2 linked regions of the Oryzias latipes genome follow. Each later gene encodes a partner of the first gene's protein in a complex. Links are inferred from orthologs where the notes say so. Each region holds a gene or a part of one and is shown in the gene's direction. Other genes may lie near its edges.

Region 1 (4,079 bases):
AAGCACTCTGGGAAACGGGACGTACTGCTATTGTTGTTATGCTACAAGCTAAAGGTAAGTGCTTTAGGCGAAGCATCCAGCTTAATATGATATTTTTCAGATTTTCATCGAGAAAATAACAGATCGACCATTCTTGCTTTTATTTTTACCCCTATTGAATGCTCACAGAGACACGGAAGTAGCGGCAGGAAGCGGCTTTTGCAGCAAGATGACTGAGGGCGTACCAGATGTGAACGTGAAAACGATGGATGCTTCTGTGCTTTTATAAATAAAATAAATAAATCTGTTCTCTAAACATCCTCCGTGTCTTCAATGCAATGTAATGAGACACACACAGACAGAAATGTGAAGGTATCTGCTGTAAATCTATGACGTAAATTAATAACAGGAAATGATCGGCTAGTCAGTTAGCATGTAGCCTAATAGCCTTCGAATGTAAAAATACTGACTGCTAAAGTTAATAAAAGACAAGTCCTGAATATTATTATTCCTATTCGACCCTAAACTACAATATCAGCTGTCTGACAACAGACCAGCCAGTTGCCCAAATGCCGGCATACATGATCAGACAGAGAGCTCTGCGGCGGAGCTAGCCTAGCAGGAGCTATCGTTTGACAAAGCAGCCTAGTTATCATAAATCTTTTGATATTTTTCTTATATTCATTGAGACGGTAATAAAGTGATCATTTTTGTTTTTCATGTTCCTTTTTTGAACGAATATGGGTCACAGAGACACGGAAGTTACCGCTGAAAGCGGCTTTTGCCGGCGTACAGAGAGCATATCCGCGTGAATGACTTATGACGTGAATAATTATTGCGTTCGAACGGATTAATTATTGCGTTCGAACGACATAATTATTGCGTTCGCACAAGTTAATCATTTCGAGGGAACGGAATAGTATTTTGAGGGAACGCAATAGTATCTTGTGGGAACGGAAAAGTATCTTGTGGGAACGGAATAGTATTTCGTGCGAACGACATAATAACCTGTGGGAACAAGATATTAATCTGTGGGAACAAGATATATTTTTATATCTTAATGTCAGGACACGGGCTCCGTAATTTTATTTTTAGGTTTGGGGTCTAAATGTGTGTCTGGATTTCCCGGCATGCAGCGCGGCAGGATTCCCCCTCGCAGCCGTCACATCCAGGCGGACAGCAGTGATGGCGGCCGGTGAGACTCACACGTAAACACCGCCTCCAAGTCGCCGCTCTCCGCTAAGCGCTCAGGGGCAGCCGGCCTCTTCCACGGCGGCGGTGCCAGCGCGACAAGTACCCCGGCGGAGACGCGCGAGGCCTTCGGCGCCTTTTTTTTTCCTTCTTTAATATTTAAAATCGGTTAGCTAATCATTAAGTACAAACGGCGCCGCACGTTCTAACAAAACCCGAAATATGGACGAACACCCAGGCGGGGGAGGAGCGGCCTCCCCGCGGCCGCCGCCGCTGCAGCAGCACGGGAGCAACTCCGGACCTCCCATCGGAACGGTCATGGTGCCCCAGCAGACGGACGAGTTAGCCCGGCCACAGCAGCAGTACACTATCCCGGGAATTCTACACTACATCCAGCACGAGTGGGCCCGGTTCGAAATGGAGAGGGCGCACTGGGAGGTGGAGCGGGCCGAACTCCAGGTTAGTCCGTCGCTATGGGTTAGCTGCTTAGCATTAGCATGGTTAGCTTCTTTTTTTCCACAGTCACCGGGGATCTCAAATAACCTTTTATCGGTATACGTATTAACGTGAATTTAAGGTAGCGACCGGAGCCCCACTGACATGTCAAGGGGGACGAGTAACCGGCGTGGAGGTCTGTTATCCAGCCGGGAGTCTGAGTGCGTTGGCCGTTAGCTTTGGAGCCCGTGGCTCAACTGAGATATCGGGAGCCTGCAGCCGCCGTGGATACGTTAATCGTGCTGTTTTGACATTTGGACCAGATGTTGGTCAGATGTTGTTCGTGACAGTCAGACGACCCTAAACGAATGACCTTACCGATTCAAATCCGTGATTCTGGAGGTTTTTTTTAATCAACCTATACATAGAAAAGTGGCTTTTTCTGGTTCTCTGGTTGGCTGCGAAGCATCTTTCAGGTCACACCTCCCTCTGGAAGATCTCCTGCATTCTAGGTCTTTATTTGCTGTCAGTTTTTTTATTTATTTACATGAATTCCTGTACATTTTCCATTTGAAGTCTGTGGATTTCTCCTTGGAAACAGCCTGTAAACAAACATGACTTCCCGATGAGAGAAGCGGGATCTGGAGCTGCTCCATGTTCTTCATGGAGCTCCAGGTGTGTGTTGGCTTTGCCGTGTCCAGCAGCAGATCTGCTGCTTCTACATCTCAGTTTGTGTGACAGAAGCAGACCCTTTTGGGTTTTTAGAAGGAATATCTGGCATCATCTCAGCTGTGGAGATGTTTCTGTCGGGGGGGGGGGGGGGGGGACGCTTTAATAAAGGCTAAAAACAAAATGAGAGTGTTGGTAGTGATATCATTTCATCACCATTGAACAATAAGGTTACTCCTCAGAGCCATTGAACGTATTGTGAGTCTCCAGGATGAGGATGATGAAGAGGCCGGAGGATTCTGCTCTGATCCTGGTCTGTGATGTCACAACCCAAAGGATGGTCCAATCAGATATTTATAGAAGTAGGTGACCCTGAACCAACGTCAGGCTCTCACATCAAACTGCATGGATCTCCCTTTTGGAGATTTGATATTTAAATTCCCTTAAAATTTAACTCACGAAGCAGAAGGAGACACTGGTGGGTTTATAATAACGAGGAAAAAGGAGTTAGTTTTAACCAAAATATGCTTTTTTTTCCTGTTATGGCATTATGTCTGCGCTGTTATTGATGTACACAATATTTTACATAATAAATGTGTTTTTAAATCATTCTTTTTTTATTAGAAACTGTCGAATTCTTTCATTTTTTAGATTTTATTAAATTTTTCCTCCTCATGTTTTAAGTCTTTTTGTTCTTCTGCAATGTTGCCACTAGATGGCACTAGATGTTTACACAGCAACCTCAAAAAGCCAAAAATAAATGTAAAAAAAAAATCAATTGTATTGTATCTTCCAGCTTCCAGAGCCACGTTTTGCTCCTCTGGACATGAATTCAGAGCAAAACTCTGACAGTGTGACGTCGTCGGTCTTAAATAGCTGTACTGACACAACGACAGTGGCGTTTTAATGAGGTGACGTGGTTGAATAACTGCAGCCCACATGTGCTGTTTTGGTCAGGGGTGTTGAGAAGCTCCCGATGACTCACAGGAACTCTGTCTGGTTTGTCATCGCCATACATTTAGGCTGAGCTGCTCACCGAACCTCCTTTCCAGTGTCTGATTCATGTAGGTGTCACATGACCTCACTCAACTCAACAACCATGTAAACAATCTTTAAAGAGTGACTCCCATATCTTTCAGAAACCTATCATAAAGAGAAGATCCAGGAGGATTTGGTTTCTCTGGAAGTGACTCGGTTGTTTTCTTGACACAATATTTTTGTGTACATAAGAGTTTTGAAACATTTGTTTCTGTTCTGCGTCTTTCCAGGCCCGGATAGCGTTCCTGCAGGGGGAGAGGAAGGGCCAGGAGAACCTAAAGAACGATCTGGTTCGAAGAATCAAGATGTTAGAATATGCTTTAAAACAGGAAAGGTAGGAACCCCGACTCATCTCAATTTATTCATTTTATCATCTAAATGTTTGAGACCAAAGAAAAAAAAATCTCTGCCTTCAAACAGGAAAACGACTAAAATCCAGAGGGAATGCTTCACTTTACGAACAGAGAATTAGGTTCGTTTGGAAGTGATTTCATAGCAGAAAAACAAGTTTCAGGTCAGAATCAATGTGAAAAACCTTGACCCAAGCTTAAAGTTGATTCCCCTTGTGGTTAAAATCATTTTCATCTTTTAAAAACAAGAATTTTATATTAAAAGGATTAAGATTTTTCTCTTTGCTTTTGGTCTTTTGAACATCCAATTCAAAATATATCAAACATTTATTTCATAACATATCAGATATATTTTTTTGTTTAGACAATTAAACAGAAAATTGAGGGAAAGGCATCAGAAGAGGATCAGCAATAAGG
Region 2 (3,653 bases), about 6.4 Mb from region 1:
CACCCCCCCCCCCCCCGCCCCCGCCCCCCCACCAGCCGCCGCCGAACACAAAATCCCTCGACGGCTGCGTCGCAAATGAACACGATTCATAATTAAAACGCAGTATTCTTTGTTAACAAATAACAGTGACAACTATCTACTATTTAGCCAATGAACTAACTATATAGGTGTTGTAGAATGTGTATGTGTGTCAGCACGCTGCGGGACTGCGATGGGCTTTAGCCAAATGTTGCAGCATGGGGTCTCTCCCTCCACGTCTGTGGCAGCAAACCCATACCAGTTCCAAACAACAGATGATTTTATTCCTGTCTTGGGATCAAACTTCCCACTCTCACTGGTAGCCATGCTGTGGCTTGCTGTTTCGTCTGTGCTATGATGTTGTTGTTTGTCGCTTGCCATACTGCCGTGTGAAACAAACGCTACGGAAGCTCTGGGGAGCCAAAAATTCACCAAATTGAATACCTGCATTCGGGTTTGAATGACGCATTAATATTGCTGTATTAGTCTTGATGGCACCATCATTCTGTAGTGATTTTAAAGGTAAACCCCTTTGAAATTTTACATTTTCAGCTGTTTTTTTTAACCATTTGCAAGAAAGCAACAGTCATGTTTCTAACATCTATCATTCAAAATTAGTTAGTTGCTTGGACTTTATTTCATAAAACTAGTGACACAGTGGTAACTGTATTGCACACGTTCAGCTGAATGTCCTTAATCCTGAAATGCTTTGATAAGGACACCTTGAATTATAATCAGGAGTTTCCCACAACAGCAGTTCTTTGAAATACAATAGACATCATTTCTGTGCTTCAGATACCCAAAAGGGAAAAAAAAACACCTTTCTTTGTCTTTAAGAGTTCTGAATACATTCCTTCTATGTAAATCTTTTCTGAAGTTCCTCCAGGTATTTATTTAGTAACTTACTGGAAATGTGTGTTCAATTCCCCTTCGCTGCAGAGTTCATGATTGACCGGCCCGAACAGGAGTTCCAGGACCTGAACGAGAAGGCCCGAGCTCTGAAGCACATCCTTAGCAAAATCCCAGATGAGATCAACGACAGAGTACGCTTCCTACAAACTATCAAGTGAGTGCGAGCAGCAGAATGAAAGCTAAAGCAATCAACCCCCCACAATTCCCAGTCTCAGTGGTGATCTGCAGGAGAATCAGAGTGCATGCAGAACCAAATGGTTTTCTCTTTGGACTCCAAATTTGTATCAGTATTGAATAATCCATCTTTAAATTACAGGCACAAGCCTTAGAAAAAAAAACTTCATCTAAAAACACAATTTAATGAAATGTAGAGATTCTAGTGAGGCTTTGGGTCATTGAATCCTCTGGCTCTATTTTGAAAGGCTTTTGTTATATATTTCAAATATATAACAAATATTTGAAATACTTATATATTTCAAATATATATTATATATTTAAAATGTATACTAATACGCTATATAAATAAGACTTTTCTTCTGTAGAAGAAAAGTCGGAAGTGACTCTTATTTATTTTGGGTATTTTTTTTTTTTTATTATTTTTTTTTTGGGTATTGCAAGTTTTAATACTTTTTTTGTAATAACTTTCTGAATTTACATTAAACTCTTTTTTTCATGCCTTTTATATTTTTTTGGCTGCACGGTGGCGCAGTGGTTAGCGCTCTTGCCTCACAGCAAGAAGGCCCCCGGTTCGAGTCCTGGCAGGGGGACCTGAATTTTATAATAATTCACTCTCTAATCATCTTTCAAGGAAACAGTTAGGATATCATACTTTTCTTGGATGATCAAAGGTGGAAGCAAACGTTTAAGGCAAATCCAGGTCTTTCAACAAATTCATAAAAAAATAAAATAAAGGGGAATTTGACCTAATTTATGGCTTTATATTTTTTAATTGTTTGTTGGACAGATATAGTCGTTTAGGGAAATGCGTCATGGAGGTAAAAAAAGATTTGTTTTTGTGAAATTTATGAAATGCATTTAAATACTTCCTTTAAATGCGCTTTTTACTTTTCCTGTATTTAAATCTGTATTAACTGTAATTCACAGAGACATAGCCAGCGCCATCAAAGAGCTCCTGGATACGGTCAACAACGTCATTAAGAAATATCAGTACCAGAACCGCAGGGTAAGTCAGGAACCCCAGAAGACAGCCGGTCAACACAAAAGCTTCGTTTCTAAAGGTTTTTCTTCTCTTCAAGGCTCTGGAGAACCAGAAAAGGGAGTTTGTGAAATACTCCAAGAGTTTCAGCGACACCCTCAAAATATACTTCAAAGACGGAAAGTAAGTGTGAACTTAACACTGACAGACAAGTTCGGGTTATATATGACCCATTTCTTATCTCACAATGAGTCCATCCACGAGTTTGATTGTCAAGCCTTCAGATTTATGAATACACACGAATGTCGGATTACGTTTTAAAAATGGAAGATTTTTTTTAAATCAGGGATATATATTTTAAACAAAGTCTTCATATTTTTGATTTACTAGTTGTAACCTGAAAAAGAAGAGGGAAAAAAAGGACAGACTGTATGATACCATCCCCTGATAGCTCTCAGACTAATTCATTTATTCTTTTTCTGTTTATCACAATTATGATTGTTTCATGTTTGTAGTTTTGATGCTGACCTTTTGCAGCAGATTCACCCCCCGTATTTTTAATTTTTCGTTATTATACAATTATTATTTGTGATTTTACTTTATTACTTAATTTATTTTATTTCCCAACTAATGACTCATCCACGATGAAAGACTCGATTTGATGAAATCGTCCATCGTGATGACTGACTGACATCCCGATCGGTACAACCCTAATTCACTTCTTCAGAAACTACGGCAACAGAAGTTTGATTTTGAAGTGTTGTACTGTCACACTTCGGATTTCTTAGCCTCTAAATGGTTGATAACAGTCTGGAGGAGTTTGTTGGACTTGACCAGATGATGATCAGTGACTCCCCTCACCAGCTAGGTAAGACACGCCAGCTCGTTGCTTAAGAAGCTGGTTTCTCACAGAGTGCTGTCTCCTTCATGCAAAGTGGAGACGTTTTAGAAAGCTTAACAAGAGGCTGGCTAATTGTGGAATGGAAGAGCCACCTCAGGATGTAGGACATGGACTGCAACCATCACATTCTTTGGATTAGGTCAGAGGAAAGGACAGTTTGAAACATGAAGATCCCAGAGTCTGGAGAAAGAAGACAGAGTCCTCGTAGTTTAAGGTTGATTGTAGAGGTTCTTCACTTGCAGGTGGTTTGAGGAGCCATGCCATCTACACGATGTTGTAGAGTTCTTCATACCCCCTTCTACTGATTTTCTTTTTCCCCAGCTGAACCAAACCCTGGATTGGATATTGTTTAGCAAACTCAGCTGATCTAAATTTAACAGACAATCTGAGAAGTTTTGAAAAGAGGAAATGAGAGACGCCACACCCAACCACTGAGAAAACGCCTGGATCAGAGCAACCTGGACTTTAGCACATCCACAGACTGATTGTCTCGCTGCAAATCTGCTTTTCCACCTCATTCATCAAATCGAGTCTTTACTTTTTCTTAAATAACAATTTTTAGATACAAACATTTAGGTTTTTTGTTAGCATTAGGAAACACTAGAAATATCTTAATCTGTGAAAGAAATCTCTACAAGATTTAATAAAAAAGTGATAATGCACACT

Evidence for each region. Proteins that work in one complex are often made in the same cells at the same time.
Region 2: strn3 (region 1) and pdcd10 share a complex: the UniProt entries of both Homo sapiens proteins name them as parts of the core of STRIPAK complex. The link is inferred for Oryzias latipes from reciprocal best matches to the Homo sapiens genes STRN3 and PDCD10.

What each region holds. Positions count from the first base shown.
Region 1 is NC_019880.2:2,602,389-2,606,467, reverse strand, and holds the start of strn3 (striatin-3), read left to right. Parts: upstream 1-1,131; 5' UTR 1,132-1,392; coding exon 1,393-1,629; intron 1,630-3,542; coding exon 3,543-3,646; intron 3,647-4,079. UniProt on the Homo sapiens protein: Calmodulin-binding scaffolding protein which is the center of the striatin-interacting phosphatase and kinase (STRIPAK) complexes.
Region 2 is NC_019880.2:9,003,994-9,007,646, reverse strand, and holds part of pdcd10 (programmed cell death protein 10), read left to right. Parts: intron 1-957; coding exon 958-1,084; intron 1,085-2,034; coding exon 2,035-2,113; intron 2,114-2,186; coding exon 2,187-2,269; intron 2,270-3,653. UniProt on the Homo sapiens protein: Promotes cell proliferation. Modulates apoptotic pathways. Increases mitogen-activated protein kinase activity and STK26 activity. Important for cell migration, and for normal structure and assembly of the Golgi complex.